Linked DNA regions of Xenopus tropicalis. The protein of the gene in region 2 binds, or shares a complex with, the protein of the main gene of each other region. Links are inferred from orthologs where the notes say so. Each region holds a gene or a part of one and is shown on either strand. Other genes may lie near its edges. The genes, in order: prdx1 and sirt5.

Region 1 (9,663 bases), on a different chromosome or scaffold from region 2:
CCCTGCACAGGTCCTTCTCTTCTTTCCAACTTTCACTGGCCTGGGTACTTTTCTACTTAATGCCACCAGAGTCTTCTGGTGCCCCAGCATTCTCTGTGCCGCACTGACAATTTCTGTACAGTGCGGAGCAGGGCAAAGTTCACCCATTGTTTTAAAAAATGTTGTAATGGTTCTTACTTCCCTGGCCATGTACAGGTATAGGACCCGTTATCCAGAATGCTCGGGACCAAGGGTATTCCGGATAAGGGGTCTTTCTGTAATTTGGATCTCCATACCTTAAGTCTACTAAAAAAATCAATAAAAAATTAAACCCAATAGGATTGTTTTGCATTCAATAAGGATTATTTATATCTTAGTTGTGATCAAGTACAAGGTACTGTTTTATTTCTACAGAGAAAAAGGAAATCAGTTTTCTGAATTATTTGATTAAAATGGAGTCTATGGGAGACAGGCTTTCCGTAATTCGGAGCTTTCTGGATAACGGGTTTCCGGATAAGGGATCCCATACCTGTACTACAGTTCAATAAAGAAACAAGCAAAGTACTGTTCCTTAATTGTTATTTGTATATGACAATAAAACTTGAAACTGAAACTTGAAACTAATTCAAGGGCCACAGTATTCTAAACATTTCAGCATGTACCTTACCGAACAAAATTATTTGGAAACAGAAAAGATGAATGCCACATAGACTGACATATTTAGGGCTCTTTACAAGCAGGCTTTTTTTTTTTTTTTTTTTAATTGTTCCTATGCAGATTTAAGCAAGCTTTTAAAAGCCTCAGATAATTATTTCCTTTATTTATTTAGTGTACATTTTGCACTAAAATGGCCTTTCATCTTTGCAAAGTGTCATTACTTAAGTTCAAACAACAAAGGATGTACAAAGCAGGTCAAAATAGACCAGAATTAAAAGAACACTGCAATTTTTACTTTACTGATTGCTAACTTATTACTTAGGTGTGTTATTAGGCTAATAAAACCTGTACTTTGTGCAACTGCAAAAGAGATTGTGGAGGAATTTCTAGGTTGTAATTCCTGAGGCGCCTGCCTCTCCCACAATGCTATTTCACAATGCAGTCAATTATAAATTTATTTCCTTCATAGCTATCCTCTGTCTGGCGGAGAAACCAATAGTGTGCCATCAGCCTTATGAATTACAATATAAATATCTCTCTCAGTCCATTTTTTTTCCTATTGAAAACAACCCAACCATGCCGTTTATCAGTAGACTGCAAGGTAGAATCTGTCAGTAACTGAGATAGCTGCAGCTGAAAAGTTTTGGGTTGAGAAATTTGCCTATTCACCTAACGTTACAAGTGTAAGGCTGATGTACTCTGGAGAGATTTAGTCACCTGCAATAGAAAAAAAATTGTATCATCAATGTTTTAGGCTTATGTCCCATGCAGAGATTTCTGCTACGCAGGCAACTAATCTCTCCAAAATGCCTTTCCACCATCAACTTTGTGCAACCGAACCGATGCATAATCAAATGATTAGTCGCCTGTCACAGGTGACTAAATCTGTCCATGGGACTAAAACAAAAATTATACACTATTTGTGAAACAGATACAAGTGTGCATTAGATTAGAGCAGTGCTGTCCAACTTCTGTAGTACCAAGGGACGGAATTTTTCTGGCCTACATGGTGGAGGGCTGATAATGGAACCCAGTTTTGACCACTCCCCTTTTTTAAAATGCACCCACTTCAAACCACACCCATGTTATCACAAGAGCATTTAAGACAATACCCATTACACATTAATGGTGGTAGTGCAGCAAAAACCCAAATGATTGGTGCTCACTGTAGGGATTTCACCCTTCATTCTTATGTGAAAGAATTATATTATGTCATTAAGACATATGCTTAATTCCATATGCCTCCTCCCCTGTGGATAGCACAGCAACCCACAGCACATAATTACACACCTTAAGGACCATACAAGGACTATTTCCAACTGCTAACAAACTCCCAGAACAAACCCCTGCCAGGTTCATCTCCCACAGGCAGCATTAGGCAGGCAAAGTATAGCACACACAGGCAGTATAGGGCAGGTAGAGTTTGGCACACACAGGCAGTATAGGGCAGGCAGAGTAAGGCACACACAGGCAGTATAGGGCAGGCAGAGTAAGGCACACACAGGCAGTATAGAGCAAGCAGTTTGGCACACACAGACAGTATAGGGCAGGCAGAGTATGGCTTACACAGGCAGGGTACGGCGCACATAGACAGGGTAGGGCAGGCAGAGTATGGTACGCCTGCCCAATGCTACCTGTGTGTGCCATACTCTGCCTGCCCTACCCTGCCTGTGTGTGCCATCTGAGCCTGAGGTGTGAACAAAACAGGCACTAAAAAATGTGAACAGTACAGGGGATTACATGTAAAAACAATACAGGCCCGCGTGCTGCCAGTTGGACAGCCCTGGTTTAGAGGATCTTTATGATAGCGGTTACTCCCCCTTTGTGTTACAAGGTGGCGAAAGTGGAGCATCCCCACAGAGTAGTACTAAGGATGTATCTCCTGCTGTTCAGGTACATTCTAGATAGAATAACAACCACTCCTCCCTGAGTAGTTTAAATCACCTTGGTACTCGTCAGAAATAAACACTCTACTCAAGAAACAAAGCCAGTATAAACAGAATACAATGCTATGCATAGAACACAGGATATTAGAGCACCTTTACTTTAGAAACTAGTGCCCCAGCTGAAATCTTATTGTGCTCTGTTTCAAAGGGGCTATTAAGGTTGTGGGGGTCCTTGGACAGGCAATTACTTAATGCAGATTCCAATGTGGCACTACTAATCATTTCACTTTTGCACACTATAAATCTTCTGGAGCACTGTGTAACAGTAATAAAATGAAAGCTTTACTAATGAAATATAAAGACTAGAACCATAATAGAACTACAGTCAATCAGTCAGACAATCAGTCTGAAACACAACTTTTTTAAGCACAATCCTTCTATAGCTAGAGGAGTATAATTCACTGGTACATTCATAATTTTTATATGATATGTCTCATTTAAATGTATACAGGTAACAGCAGAGGCCAATAGTTACCCACACACAGCAGACAGGCAGATCAAACCCCATCAGCTGATTTTAGCCAAATGAGTGCCATCAATGCAATCTCCAACATTGCTTACTTTGGGTACCATTATTACACCGCCTTGTGCAGCCCTGGGCAGCTTTTTATATTATCACATAAAGGTATGCTCTGCTGAAAATCTGTAGATTCAACAGAATTCTACACAGCATCTCGGCCTTTTCCTGACTGAGGGTCAATATCTTGCAGTTGATCTCTTGTGATTCATATTCTGTTTCATAGATACCATGAACAAACATTTACAAACATGTCATAGAGCATGGAAGGTTTTTTTAATAACAGGAAGAAATTGGTCACATTATTCTCAGGAAAAGGACTTATCTGTAAAGCACCAGCTATTTTATGTAAGAGTGTGTGTAGTTTACAAAAATAAGGCATCACTTTTTGTGCAAGTGCAGTTAGAACAACTTGTACATATAACCTGAATCAAGCTTTTGGTCTGAGCAATTCAGCACACCGCATCAGCCCAATATGAGGGTTGGCTGCAGCATGGGTCTGACAGCAAGAGATGGAACACATGTATTCATATTCAGAAGTCCATGGTTTGATTTCAAGGTACACTTGTGAGGATGCCAGAATCAGCAGCTGCTCCAGCTGTCTTGCACAGAAAACATATACAGTACGTGATTAAGAACCTGCCTTTTTAACTTACCAGGGAAATGTAGAAAGAAATTGTACAAAGAAAGTGCCAAGAAAGTAATGTGCTGCAGCTAACTAAAGCCGCCGACGTTCAGGTTCAAGTTCATTGGATGGTGAATATGGGCTGATGGTTAACTACAGCACCGTTTCTGATTACACACAACCTGTAAAATGTCTGATCATGATCAGATCATGTCTGATGAAGGGGCTAATAAACACGCAGGGTTAAACCTGCTTGCAAATGACCTGTTGTGTCAGTTCCTTGAGAAGCTTCTACCAGATCACCTGTCTCGATACCTGGCACACATATTGACCTTACAAGTGGCATTTTAAATACACTTGATTGTATGATATGCCCGAGGCTCTAGAGGAGTAAATAAAGCATTTTGGCAGTTCATTCAGAGGAACATTCTGCATGTTTCTTTTTTTCACTGTCCTGTGCAGCATTTCATGTTATGGGCAATAAGGCAATTATATCTGCTATGAATTGTGGCTGCTGTGTGACAAACATGTTGGCTGTGCCACATGCACAAACGTAGTGACTAGTGCAGGTATCAAAATAGCTCTATATCCTATGTATTCCTAAAAAGAAATTCTCTCTTTTCAAATCTGAAGTCTACATTGCCAATGGCTCTTATTCATTTCGCAAGATTTCTTCCTCAACATCCCCAGACTCATATGGAAAGGGGAAGTGACAAGTCAGCGAAACATAACCAAAAATCATTTCTTTTTACTCACGCCAGGAAAATTATACCCCCACCCCACCCAGAGATGCTATATTAAACTCACTCTTAAAGGGTATGCACAACCAAGCCTGGATACCTGTTTACACGTGGTGAGTTTGACAAATCCTTTTAAACCATTGTAGATACAGGCCACCATCTTCCACTTTCAGCCATAGAACAACGCATGGAAATGTTAAAAGCAGATCTTAAAAGGAACAGTAAAAAATGTATATATTTTAAAGAAATTAAACTATAATGTATTGCTGCCCTGCACTGGTAAAAATTGTATGTTTGCTTCAGAAACATTACTATAGTTTATATAAACCCTGGTGTGTAGCCATGGGGGCAGCCATTCAAAAGAAGAAAAGGCACATGTTATATAGCAGATAATAGATAAACCCAGTAGAATACAATGGTGTCTTATCTGTTATTTGCTATGTAACCTGTGCCTTTTCTCCTTTTTTCCAGCTTGAATGGCTGCCCCCATGGCTACACAGCAGCTTATTTATATAAACTATAGTAGTGTTCCTGAAGCAAACACCCCAGTTTTACCAGTGCAGGGCAACAGTATGTTATATTTCAACTACTTTAAAACACTTTCATTTTTTGGTGTTACTGTTCCTTTAACCCCTTTTTCTGCTAAAGAACACTAACCTTCCTACCACTGCCACCCTAGCTACTATTGAAAGCACTGACAAAGCATCATTTTTGTTGGCCTGGTAAAAAAAAAAGTAGCTAGGCGGGAACCCTCATACAGTACGTGCCTCTACTAGTGTTCCTGAGCTGTTATGGGTGGTGGAAAGGTTTCACGTCGGGCAGAACCCTGAATAACTAGTCATCCCGCTGAGGCAGGGATATCCCACACCCTCCAGCCTCACATGTTCTGCAGCACTCGTCACTTTTCCTTTTAGAAAGAAGCAAATCACTAGGCTGCAGGGAAGCCCGGACAGAGAGAAAGCTAGGGAAGCCAGACATTGCAGAGGTTAGAAGTTGTCACGCATACGCAGAGGAAGCTGGCGGCAGGGAGTGCTCTGTGTAACAATGGGAGCTCTGTCAGAGGCGGCACGGAACTATGGGATATAACCCCCAAGAAGAAATCACAAGAATGATGCAGGTGCAGAAGAACTAGTGATGGTGTCATTCATTCTAAACCGGGCCCCAAACCGCGCTCAACCCAAGTTCAAGGCTTTTCAGTATAATCCCACCAAAAGCCCCCACCGGGTTATTACGCAAGAATGCCCCATCTGTTACTGAACTACAACTCACTACAGCATGCGCAATGCTAGGAGTCGTGCTCCCATTACTACTAGTGACCAGGGTTTCCAGGGCTACATTGTGAGCTTTATAGTATGGCAGAAGATAATGTAGGAACACAATAGGGAGAACAATAGGAAGCAGATAGGCGCTGATATTTCAGATTTCAACTTACAGAACTTTAACTCCCGTCACCCCCATCACAACAATAATAGCAGCCGGAAGCGATGGAGAGGCCCTGCTAAAGATTAGGAGGGAGATGTCGCGGGCAGAATGTGTAACTTACATGGCTGTGGCTGTTCCAAGCAGATCAGGCAATGCAGGAGGAGACCGGCACAGCCTTGTAAGTGCTTTATATTCAGCAAATATGGCGAGCACCGCCCGCTCCACTCCTCCCCTCCCCTCTCCTTACTGAAGCATCTCCTGTCATCTTCTGCCTTCCCCTCATCCCCTCCCCTCGTTACTTGCGGCTTTCACACCTTCTCCGGGGAGATTCTCATGTCTATTTTACTCGTCGCACTAATTAGAAGCAAATGAACCTTTAGGCAACTATATAAAGGGTGTGAATAAAAAAAGGTATAACGGGTTGGGGCAGACTTTGGTGTTTTTGTGAAGAAGAATAGTTGCAGTTGCTTCTGTCTGAAAGTAAGTTTCCTTGTTTTCTGTGCTGAAATGTAACACTACATGCCTCAAGCCTCTTTCTTGTTAGCTACTTCTAGGGCCACCATCAGAAACACGGAAGCATCATACCAATAATTGTGCAGGCTGTGCCAGGTACAGTGGGCCCAAGCACAGCAGGGGTTCCAGTGGTGCACTGCCTGCCCAGGAATGGCGGGGGAAGTGGTGCAGCTGCTAAGTCTCAAAGTAAAAAAGTGTTTTTGTCCAGCATCCCCAACAGGGAAGGGGTGCAATTTTCTACCCTGGGAGATCAGCCCAGGCCATTATGCAGAAAAGCAGCACCAAACTACAACTTTAAACCACCAGAGCTGGGCCAAGCTCGCCTGGCACCAGTTGCGTAACTATAAAGGAAGCAGAACTGGAACCCACTGCTTTAGGCTAAGGACTCATGGAGCGATTCAGTTGCCCACAATAGATCTCTGCTTTCACGGCCAACTAACCGCTCCAAAATGGCTTTCCACCTGCAAGAAAACCTTCAGAAAATCAAAGCAATGTGAAGGGCTTTCTACCGCCAACCTATTGTTGCTGGTGGAAAGGCATTTTGGAGCAGTTCGTCACCCACGATAGCAGAGATCTTTTGTAGGGCATCAGCCTAATATTTGTATGTATCTAGCGCCCCCCGCCATTGCTCCCTACGCATGTATCTAGCGCCCCCCACCATTGCTCCCTACGCATGTGCCTCTTCTGCTTACCTCTAGTTCTGGCCGTACCCACCACAATACTTCACAGTTCGTATCTGGTTCTAGTATGTATGTATGTATAACTTTATTTATAAAGCGCTACTTATGTACGCAGCGCTGTACAGTAGAATACATTAATATAAACAGGGATATTAAATGCAGTCAATGCAGTAAAATGCAGTCTTTTGGTACTGTTGTGAAATAACTTTGCTTGGACTGTACAAAACACATCCTGGTTTTTGCCTAGGTGTTTCATGAGCAACCTTTAGTCTTGGAAAGATGTTTTTTCTTGACAGCAAAGTTTTCCACTTAACACCCCCCCCCCCCCCCCTTGTAGATCAAATTTGGGATCTAATTTGTAATGTTAGACTTGTGCACTTTGACATCAGTAACGGTGAGAGGTATCTGTAGGTCTTGTTATAAAATGCTGGGGTTCTTAAAGAAGTCTTTTTGCATCTTGTGTTTTGCTCTTGGACTGAACTTGCTAGGACAGCCTTGCCTGGGCAAGTTGGCAGGTTTTTGTACACTAGTAGGTTATCTTCCAGATAATACAGTGGAGGAAATAATTATTTGACCCCTCACTGATTTTGTAAGTTTGTCCAATGACAAAGAAATGAAAAGTCTCAGAACAGTATAATTTCAATGGTAGGTTTATTTTAACAGTGGCAGATAGCACATCAAAAGGAAAATCGAAAAAATAACTTTAAATAAAAGATAGCAACTGATTTGCATTTCATTGAGTGAAATAAGTTTTTGAACCCTCTAACAAAAAAAGACTTAATACTTAGTGGAAAAACCCTTGTTTGCAAGCACAGAGGTCAAACGTTTCTTGTAATTGATGACCAAGTTTGCGCACATTTTAGGAGGAATGTTGGTCCACTCCTCTTTGCAGATCATCTCTAAATCCCTAAGGTTTCGAGGCTGTCTCTGTGCAACTCTGAGCGTGAGCTCCCTCCATAGGTTTTCTATTGGATTAAGGTCCGGAGACTGACTAGGCCACTCCATGACCTTAATGTGCTTCTTCTTGAGCCACTCCTTTGTTGTATGTTTTGGGTCATTGTCGTGCTGGAACACCCATCCACGACCCATTTTCAGTTTCCTGGCAGAGGGAAGGAGGTTGTCGTTCAGGATTTCACGATACATGGCTCCGTCCATTTTCCCGTTAATGCGAATAAGTTGTCCTGTGCCCTTAGCAGAAAAACACCCCCAAAGCAAAATGTTTCCACCCCCATGCTTGACGGTGGGGACGGTGTTTTGGGGGTCATAGGCAGAATTTTTCTTCCTCCAAACACAGCGAGTTGAGTTAATGCCAAAGAGCTCTATTTTGGTCTCATCAGACCACAGCACCTTCTCCCAGTCACTCACAGAATCATTCAGGTGTTCATTGGCAAACTTCAGACGGGCCTGCACATGTGCCTTCTTGAGCAGGGGGACCTTGCGAGCCCTGCAGGATTTTAATCCATTGCGGTGTAATGTGTTTCCAATGGTTTTCTTGGTGACTGTGGTTCCTGCTAATTTGAGGTCATTAACTAACTCCTCCCGTGTAGTTCTAGGATGCTTTTTCACCTTTCTCAGAATCATTGACACCCCACGAGGTGAGATCTTGCGTGGAGCCCCAGAGCGAGGTCGATTGATGGTCATTTTGTGCTCCTTCCATTTTCGAACAATCGCACCAACAGTTGTCACCTTCTCTCCCAGCTTCTTGCTAATGGTTTTGTAGCCCATTCCAGCCTTGTGCAGGTCTACAATTTTGTCTCTGACATCCTTGGACAGCTCTTTGGTCTTTCCCATGTTGGAGAGTTTGGAGTCTGCTTGATTGATTGATTCTGTGGACAGGTGTCTTTTATACAGGTGACTAGTTAAGACAGGTGTCCTTAATGAGGTTGACTAATTGAGTAGAAGTGTCTAACCACTCTGTGGGAGCCAGAACTCTTAATTGTTGGTAGGGGTTCAAAAACTTATTTCACTCAATGAAATGCAAATCAGTTGCTATCTTTTATTTAAAGTTATTTTTTCGATTTTCCTTTTGATGTGCTATCTGCCACTGTTAAAATAAACCTACCATTGAAATTATACTGTTCTGAGACTTTTCATTTCTTTGTCATTGGACAAACTTACAAAATCAGTGAGGGGTCAAATAATTATTTCCTCCACTGTATATTCTATATTAATTGATGTCCACACGATTGGCGCTCTTTTTAAGTCCCTTTCACGACTCACAGGCATCTTTCTAAAGTTCATAGAGAACTCTTGGGATCTAGGCAACAAAAAGGAAACCAAACTAGCAAAAACTAGTCAGAAACTTGTAGGGTGTAAGGTAGGCAGAACAGGTTACACCACAGAAGGTCATACCAAGGTTGGATCAAGTAATAGAAAGTCCAAAGTCATGTGAGGAGAAAACAACAGGAAAATATACAGTAAGTTTGTTGCTTTTTGTTCTGAAATGTAAAACTATGTGGCACAAGCCTATTTTTTGTCCAGCATCCCCAACAAGGAAAGGGTGCAATTTCGCATTCTCCCACCTCCCAAAGTTAACATTTTTTTTCCCTGACCTGGTTAATGTGCCTCCAGCGTGACTTCACTT
Region 2 (9,183 bases):
TAATGCTTTACTCCACTTTTTACAAAGAATGATAAATATATCCCTAAGTTGCTTTAGATGCGGCGGCATAGCGCTCTGAATGAAAGTGCCCAGGCATAGACGATTTGTTTTTTTTTAAAGAAGAGGTGTGCACCCCCTGGGTATAAAGGTAGCCCTTCGAATTAGGCTCTTGTTCTCCATTAATTACACCCTCCCTGACCTAGCAAAACCCATTGAAATTAGGATAAATTTAGGCCGCAGCAGGTCTGGACTGGGATTAATTAAATGCCCTGGTATTTCTACTACACAGAGGCCCAAACAGCCCACCACCAGTCCAATAAATAGTCACTGTCTGGCATCTTTCTGGGCTGATTAAGGGGCTGGTTCACCTTTAAGTGAACTTTTAGTATGTTAAGGAATGTCCTATTCCTAGCAACTTTGCCATTGGTCTTCATTATTTCTGTGTTTGTAGTTATTCCTTTTCTCCTTTTTGCTTTCAGATGGGGGTCACTGACCCGGCAGACAAACTTTTGCTCTGTGATGCTACAATTTTATTGTTACTTTTCATTTCATTCTATTCCGTTTTTTGCTTATTCATATTCCAGTCTCTCATTCAAACCACAGCCTAGTTGGTTAGAGTAAATAAGAGCCTAGCTGCTGAAATTCCAAACTTGAGACCTGCTGAACAAAAAGTGAAATAACTGAAAAACCTTAAAAAATAAAAATTGTCTCAGAATATCAATCTCTATATCATACTAAAAGTTAAACTAAAGGTGAACTAAAAGGATTTTTATTTATTTGTTTAATGCATAATATTATGCCACAGTTTTACATTTGGTTACACATTCACATACAATCATTATGCAGCTTCATAACCACCTAAAATTTTTTTTTTTTTTTTACATATATATTTTTCCTTTTATTGTAATTTGGAATTTTTATACATAGAAATTAACAGATAACCAGGAGTTACACCTAATCAGCAGTAGAAAATGGTGATACTAGGTTATAAACTATACTCCACCCAAGTCGGGAGGGAGTTTATACTGTGTACCCATAGGGAAGAAAGGGGAAAGAAACCATCGGTCTCACGAAAGATCGTTCCAACCCCTCACTCAGGGCTGAATTGTTAGATATGGAGGTAGAAACAATAGGATTTCTACCTCCTTCTGCCAATTCAGCCCTGAACATAGATTTTGCTCGGGCGCCTTCAGTAAAGTTTCGTACGGTATCATCGGTGCGTGTATGGCCAGCTTAACAGGTGTGATAGGGCAATAGGAGGAGGACGATGTAAAATACAACATAAATAAGGCACGTTGGGAACAAGTAGTTTATTTCTATAAAGATATTAACGTTTGGGCATTTGCTTCCTGAGGATCCTTATCTATTGACATACTAAATTTGGCATGAACAATAATATATAGTCAATTATATTAGGTTTCTATGAAGAACAAGTCTCATAGATTGATGGCTGTGGCTTTAACCCCTGTATCAGTATCAGTAAATATTGTACCATGTTGTTCTATGGGTTGATCAAATGCCTCTTCCCATTTTTTAACATTTTGGCACCCCCAAGTGACTTTGCCTTTCTTTCTCCTTTAATCACTTAGATTTCTTTCTCCTCCTGTAACCCACTCGGCCCCCTCCCTCAGGAATTTGCTTTGGCTGTTGGCTTGTGGGCATGCTCAGTTGTTCTAAGCTCAGATTACTAAACACGCCCCCCAGTCTAGCAGCCAGTGAAGAGATGGCATTGCTGGTTCCCATAGAAACTCAGCTCTAGGTGTCTGCTTCAATTTTTTTCTCATGTAAATGGGATTTTTCTAAGAGCCTTAAGGAATTTGTTCCCAGAATCCCTTTTGACTTAATTTTTTTCTCCTGAGATCAGCTTTACCATTACAGTGCTCAAAGCAGAACTTTTATTAGAGACAGTTGTGCCTGTGTGAGCCTGTATTCTTGATGAAATGTATTCTGAATAAGGGTCTGCGTGTGTGTATGCTGTTTGCAGATTTAAATGTAACTGATAATGTATCAGAGGAAAAATGGCCACCGGGTGAAAGTTACTATTTGCTTTAAGAAAATGTGATGGTGCTGGCAAATGGAGGGGAATATATGCAGTACAAATAATGCCATTTGGATGGGGGAGACGTGCCCAACTGATATACATTGTAGGCAAATGTAGGCTTTACATGTCCTTTAAGTCCGCAAAACTAATGTAGGCATACCCCAGAAGGCTAGCCACTATATATGCAGAGGGAATAATTAAGCAACCAACAAAATGTCATCTTTTTTGTTAATAAATATTTTGTAAACTTTCTTAGTTAGGGTGCACACCAAAAACCTATGGGCATGGTTTAAAAAAAAAAGCAAAACGCATCAGGATTGTGAAATAAAGCTTCAAATGGAAACACGTCAGAATTGTGAAATAAAACTTTTTTAACCATGGCCATTGGTGTTTAGTGTGCGCGCCCATACAAGAAAGTTTGTCTGCGACTGTTGAGTGCCCCCCTAGCTACGGGTCTGGGGCACTGCACCCACACCACTGGATTAGCCTGGTGAGTTGCCATGAGAGCACCTGTTTTAATTAATTTTTGTATTGATAAATATCACTGCCCCCCCCCCCCCCCCCAAAGCGAGGGGTCCAGGGCAAGGCACCAAGACCAACTTAATAAAGTGGTGAGTGAGGTATTAATATCTGTAACACTAAGCTTATCTAATAGGGAAGTGGGGGGAGAGAGAATTTAATTTTAAAGGAGAAGAAAAAGGTAAAAACTAAGTAAGCTTTATCAGAATGGTCTATATATTTTGCACCTTCAAAGTGTTTGATGAGAATTCTTAAGAGACAAGGAAAGAACCCCAACCCATATTTTACCATAGAAGAATTATTAAATCCCCCTTGTAGAACGTTTTACTTTTACTGCCCCAAAATCTGTTTTGAACTTTCCATTCAGAGTTTGAGTTTGCTGCCTGGGATGTAGACGGCATGTTAGATCTAGCTACGTAACTGTTCCAGCTTTGCGCCCTCTGCGCATCTCGTTCCGCCATCTGACCATATTTGCCCGTGAATACAAGCACAAAGCCCAATACAGCTAATTTTTGAAAGGCAGAAGTGATTTCCTCCATCTTCTGGTGGAGTCTTGGAGATAAAAATGCAGCTAAAAAGGTACTGACTATATTTAAGGCAGTTGTAAGGATGGTTACATATCATATCTGTTCTTTAAAGCACATGTAAACCCCATAGACAAAAATTTAATTATTGAACAGCCTCTTTAAAATCTTTCAATTCCTGCCACACTGGCTGTCCAATAATAAGGCTGCAGCATCTCCATAATCACTTAGATTTCCTTCTCCTCCTGTAACCCACTCGGCCCCCTCCCTCAGAAATTTCCTTTGGATGTTGGCTCCTGGGCATGCTCAGTTTTTCTCAGCTCAGATTACTAAACACACCCCCTTGTCTAGCAGCCAATGAAGACATGGCATTGATGTTAGGAAACTCAGCTCCTAACCTCCTCTCCTGAGCTTAGTTTAACCATTACAGTGCTCAAACAAAGTAGAACTTTTATCAAAGACCGTTTTGCCTGTGTGAGCCTTGACCCTTGATGAACTTTATGCCACCATTTGGATGGTGGAGACCTGCCCAACTGATATACATTGTAGGCAAATATGTCTTTTAATTCCAAGTTTTTGGGGGGTATACTTATGTAGGGAACAGTATAAAGTTATAATATAAGCTCCTACTGGGATTATATGCTAGGGAAGGCTGCCAGTATAGGCATAGGTAATTGTGAACCAAACAGACTGGATTCATAGGGTAAAATATGTAGCTATTGAATGGGGATTCTAGTTTGTGGACCCTCATATTTAATTTAGTAGTTATATTCCTGGGGGTCTTCTGTGTTCTGCACTTTATCCACCTATAATTGCTCCTTCCTGCACAAATGATGAGAGGCATTGTGCAACGTCACCCAGGTAGTAATTTCTTTGCAGTAGGAATCTAGGGGCTGATTAGTAGCCAAAAGTAAATTTCATTAGCTTCTTTAAAAAAAGGGCAATTTTCTGTTTTGTTTATTTAAGGTAACAAAAATGCATTTTAAAAATCTTAGAATATCCTCTTTTATTTACTAGCATTTTTAAACCTTGGTGTACAACAGAATGTTGATAAAACTATTGCCAGGGTTGCTAAGTTGCAAACCATGAATCTAAATTTAGGCAAAAGCAAAATTTGGATTTATGGAAAAAGGTAAAGATTTTGGAAAGTTGTAAAAATCTGCACATTGGCCAACCTGTTTATGTTGGTGATAAATTTATGATTTCTGCAAGGAATTGCTTAGCTTGTTGGTTTTATTGCTCCCATCCTCAAGCCAGCTATGGAACTCGTAATATGCAGGACTACTAGTTGAAGCCTGTCCTCATCACTGATTAAGAAACTTCCTCAGAATGAAGGTGGATAATAAGCTTGTGATGCAGTTCAGCCAGATACCTAATGTTTGTGCCAGATGGCTTTATGGCAGTCAGGTTAGCCAGAGGGGAGTTCAGATGTCAGCACTTTTCAGATGCCTACGGTCCCCAGCTCACGTAGCAGTGTGTTCCAAGCTCCCACCCTGTCACTAGAGCACACCAGGTCTGACTCACAGCAAGCATTCATACTCTGCTGTGCACACAGTCTTACATAGACTTAACTGGCGCTTTGACCGTTCTCCTATTTGCTTCTGGTAAGATGCTAGAACTCATCATCCATCCTCTGACTGAGTCTTTGAAGTATAAATTTTGCTTTTAGCTTTTGTTTAATAAGGAGGCCTTTTTAGCAAGCATTATATATATAATATGTATCAGACTGTTTTACAGACGCTATAAAAAGGCTTCTCCACCTTCACTAAGTTTTGTGAAAGAAATTTATACTTTATCGGGTTATTAATTTAAAAACCTTTTTCTAAAATATATACAGTATAGATAATGGCAATGCAGCAGACATGTTCGCAAATCTCTATAAAGCATAATATGGGCAATTCCCCATGCATTTACATTGCATAAGGGAACATAATGGGGCAGATAAAAGCAATAATTAGTTTCTGAATTCTGATAACGAATTTGATTCCTATTTCATTTATATCATCTCTACTTGCTGTATTTGGCAACCAAATGTCTTTCCCTTGCCATTCTCAACAGACCCAGTTTTGCACTACAAGGAATAGTGTGTGCTAATATGCAGACAATAATGTGTTTTGTACTCTGTGTATATTTTCTGTTTCATTTGGCAGATAATTGTATTTTATTTAAAATGTACATTTTTGCTGCAAATTCCCACAGAAGGTGTCATCTTTCCAATTTTTTGTTTCAGTTATAATAATTTGGCCTAATGATTCTTCTTCCGTTCCACACCAGAAGACTGGTGAGCCACGTTTACTGTGGACTGAAACCAGCCTCCAAAAAAAAGGGTATAGCCCTGGAAATGGCACGCCCAAGTTCTAGTAAGTGGTGGGATACACAATTTAAGGGATTGGGGGGTAATTTATGCAGTTTTCTATTGTTTTGGTTGATCTACTATAAATTAGAGAATAAAAAGGCACGGTCTGATTGTTAGTGGCACTGGAATGCTGCCATTTAGACCCTACTGTATATAAACTTGCTTGGTGCTCAACTGAGAAATATAATTGGTGAGAAAGATAATTGGTGATGTGTGAACATAAGTGGTGAAAGCGTATTACCTAGAGATTAGGTTACTAATTTTTATAAGCGATAAAAGTCTATCCTGAGGCTAAAGGTCATGCACTGGCAGATTTAAGCTGATGATTCGGATCCTTCAGACAGACTCTGCAGCATTTCTATCCATGTATAGAGCCGCCCAACAGGCCTCAGGTGGGCATATTGGGGGAAAGACTCCAAATGGTTGCCAAACGAGTAAATCTCACCGTTTATGGCCACCTTCACTCTCAGCTCAGATAATAAAACTGTGTTTAATGACACACAGTTCAGTGAAGCTGATTTTAAACCAATCTGTGATAGCCCAGGCAATAGTAGCTGAATCACTGCTGTGTTAAAACTATATGTTAACCAACAGATAGTTTATATTATGTTAAGTGACCTATGAAAGAATCTTGCCAAACTTAAATATTATATATATCAGTAGATTTTGCCCTTTTACATCCTTTCCCTTGATCCACCATAGTGATGGGCTGTGTGGTCCCTCAGAGATCACATGAGCAGAAATAATGCAGCTCTAACTGTAACAGGAAGTACTGTGGAAGCAAAGACAGAACTCTGTCCATTCATTGGCTGATGTGGCCTAGCATTTATGTGTGCCTTGGCTTGTTTGTGTGCACTGTGAATCCTATACCAGGAAGAGGCCCTTAATTCTTAAAATGGCAATTTTTTTTTTTCAATAGTACTAAAAAAGTATATTTTTATGAAAATGGTTTATTTAGATGAAACAGGTTTTACATATGTTTATGCAGTATATTTTATAGAAACCTACATTGTTTGGGGGTATAGTTTTCCATTTAATCAGGCAGTTCGAAAAAAGAAGCAAAAATGTCATGTTAGTAAATGTGTCCCACCATCTCCCCATACCAGTTATACCCTTCCTAATTTAGTATTATATATTTTACTTTATATATCCTTTCAAGATCTGGCTGATTTCAGAGAAGCCTTTGCAAAAGCGAAGCACATCGCAGTTATTACAGGCGCAGGAGTCAGCGCAGAGAGTGGAGTGCCAACATTCAGAGGAGCTGGAGGATACTGGAGAAAATGGCAAGCACAGGTCTCAAGTTATTACATTATAATCAAATTAATTGCATAACCATGTTTAATTTATAACTTAGAAGTGGGTTTTTAACTTATGTATAAATACATAGACAATCTGAATCCTGCAAAGAAGGCTGGGATTCAATTGAATTTCGAACTGAATCTGGTTAATTCCCAGGCCCTGGGGCTAGTGCTCCGATTTGGAAAACTTCACCGTTTACCACGTTCCTCACTCACCCAAGGATCCCTCTGTGCCAATGTGTGCTTGCAGTAGAGTAAAAGACTGACCTTTGCACTGCACATGCACACCACGCCTGGGCCATACGAGGAAAAAGATGGCAACGAGGTGCACAGGGTTTTGGTGGTGCCTAATAATTGTTCCCCTCACTGATGATACTTTTTCTTTGCCTTTAAAGGAGATGTCAACGCTGACTTTAATATCAGGTCTAATGCCAAGGGCACCTTACCCCCACCTCAACCGTATAACTATCGCTCCCTCAACCTCTTCCTACAGCCTGCACCGCTGCATTAGTTTTTTCGCCGTTTCGCTTGTCATCAAGCGATCGGTATATGTACCAAATGCGCATGTGCGCATAGCCTCTCCTGCCTGTTTTTTTTTTTTTTTTTTTTAATAAGCTTTATTAAAAAACGCCACTGACGGATATCAGTTGCAAGGCAGAACATGCACACTCATTAGGGCTCTGGCACACGGGGGAGATTAGTCGCCCGCGATTAACTCCCTGTTCGCGGGCGACTAATCTCCCCGAGTTGCCTACCCCTGCCATCCCACCGGCGAACATGTAAGTCGCCGGCGGGATGGCAGACGCGGCGGCGCGATTTCGCGCAAATCGCAGAAAAAGCCTCGCGAGTCTTTTTCGGCGCATGTGCACCACGCCAGGCACACAAGGAGATTCTAAAGGGAGGGGGGAGAGGGAGAGGGAGTTAATGAGCTGTGCAGTGAGAGAAACTCCAAGGGATCGCTGCAGCTTCGCTGTTTGCTTTTGAGGGACCGGAGTGGCAGGTATTTAAAGAATGCTGTGAGGCTTTTCACTGCTAAAACTTTTCGTTAGGGGGTTGACATGTCCTTTATATGCATTAATGGAATCTTCCATCACAACATCAAGCTCACTGCCCATGTCTGAGACTTTTCATCTATGACTTAAAAGAGAAGGAAAGGCTAAGTCACTTGGGGGTGCCAAAATGTTAGGCACCCCCAAGTGACTTAAATCGCTTACCTTTTACCCCGGGCTGGTGCCCCAGTTAGGAGAGAACAGCACCAGCACGGGGTAGCAGCGAGCGCTTCCCTCTTCCTGTTTTGCGTGCGCGCGCATGCGCAGTAGAGTGAGAAGCCGAGCTTTAACAAGAAAGTCGGCTTTTCACTCTAATGCGCATGCGCCGGCCCAGGGGTTTCGCCGGCAGAAGAAAGAGGAAGAAGGAAGCACTCACTACAGGTACCCCAGGCTGGTGAGGTTTTCTCATAACAGGGGCACAAGGGCACATTTTGGCATTCCCAAGTGACTTAGCCTTTCCATCTCCTTTAACCAGAAAACTGAACTCTTGTTTCTCACACAGTAGAGTGCATGTATCTGACCACATCAAAGTGTTACTCATTAGAACTGATAAGCAACAGCATCTCTAATGACCATGAATATTGTGCTCTTACTATTGTTGTTTATTTTACAGCACTTGGCAACACCTGAGGCTTTTGCCAGAAATCCTTCCCGTGTATGGGAGTTTTATCATTACCGGAGGGAAGTGATGTTGACAAAGAATCCAAATCCAGCTCATTTAGCCATTGCAGAATGTGAAACCAGGCTTAGGAAACAGGGGAGGAAGCTGGTGGTCATCACCCAGAACATTGATGAGTTACACCGCAAAGCAGGCTCCAGAAACCTATTTGAAATTCATGGTGAGGGGATTGTGTATGGGAATGTTTACAGTATTTGATTTATGGGGAGCTGTGATTTGTGTAAAATCTGTTTTTATTTCAGGAATGTGCCTTTTCCATTAAAACACAATGGGGACGATTCACTAAAGCAAGGGTGTCAAACTCAATCACATACGGCTAAGTCGCGGGCCAAATTTTTATTAATATACTAAGTAAGATACTAAGGGGTATATTTATCACAATGTGTAAAAGGTGGAGTAAGACATTACCGGTGAAGTTGCTCATAGCAGCCAATCGATGCTTTGCTACTGTTGAAATCTGATTACTGATTGGATGCCTTGGGCAATATTACTGGTAATGCTTCACTCCACTTTTTACACAGCATGATAAATATACCCCTTAGTCTTAGTTACTATGTGAGGAAAATTAAAATTGATCAGACTGGATGGTCAGACACACTCACCAAGGGCCACATAAAACAGCCAGGTGGGCTGTATTTGGCCACCGGTCCTTGTGTTTGACATATATGCACTAGTAAAGAGTTAACTGTAGGTATGCCTGCAGCTTGAGATTGTCTC

What was found.
Region 1: the proteins of sirt5 (region 2) and prdx1 are in contact, whole or in part, in a crystal structure (PDB 8Z54), measured with the Homo sapiens proteins. The link is inferred for Xenopus tropicalis from reciprocal best matches to the Homo sapiens genes SIRT5 and PRDX1. Residues at the interface, in NP_001363727.1 of Homo sapiens: Ala86, Tyr102, Arg105, Gln140, Ile142, His158, Val220, Val221, Trp222, Phe223, Gly224, Glu225, Asn226, Leu227, Leu232, Val253, Val254, Tyr255, Pro256; in NP_001189360.1 of Homo sapiens: Phe195, Ser196, Lys197, Gln198.

Annotation. Positions count from the first base shown.
Region 1 is NC_030680.2:90,368,140-90,377,802, reverse strand, and holds the start of prdx1 (peroxiredoxin-1), read right to left. Parts: upstream 6,031-9,663; 5' UTR 6,008-6,030; exon of another isoform or gene 5,897-6,007; intron 1-5,896. UniProt on the Homo sapiens protein: Thiol-specific peroxidase that catalyzes the reduction of hydrogen peroxide and organic hydroperoxides to water and alcohols, respectively.
Region 2 is NC_030682.2:91,780,398-91,789,580, forward strand, and holds part of sirt5 (NAD-dependent protein deacylase sirtuin-5, mitochondrial precursor), read left to right. Parts: intron 1-5,314; 5' UTR 5,315-5,332; coding exon 5,333-5,444; intron 5,445-6,599; coding exon 6,600-6,733; intron 6,734-8,400; coding exon 8,401-8,626; intron 8,627-9,183. UniProt on the Homo sapiens protein: NAD-dependent lysine demalonylase, desuccinylase and deglutarylase that specifically removes malonyl, succinyl and glutaryl groups on target proteins.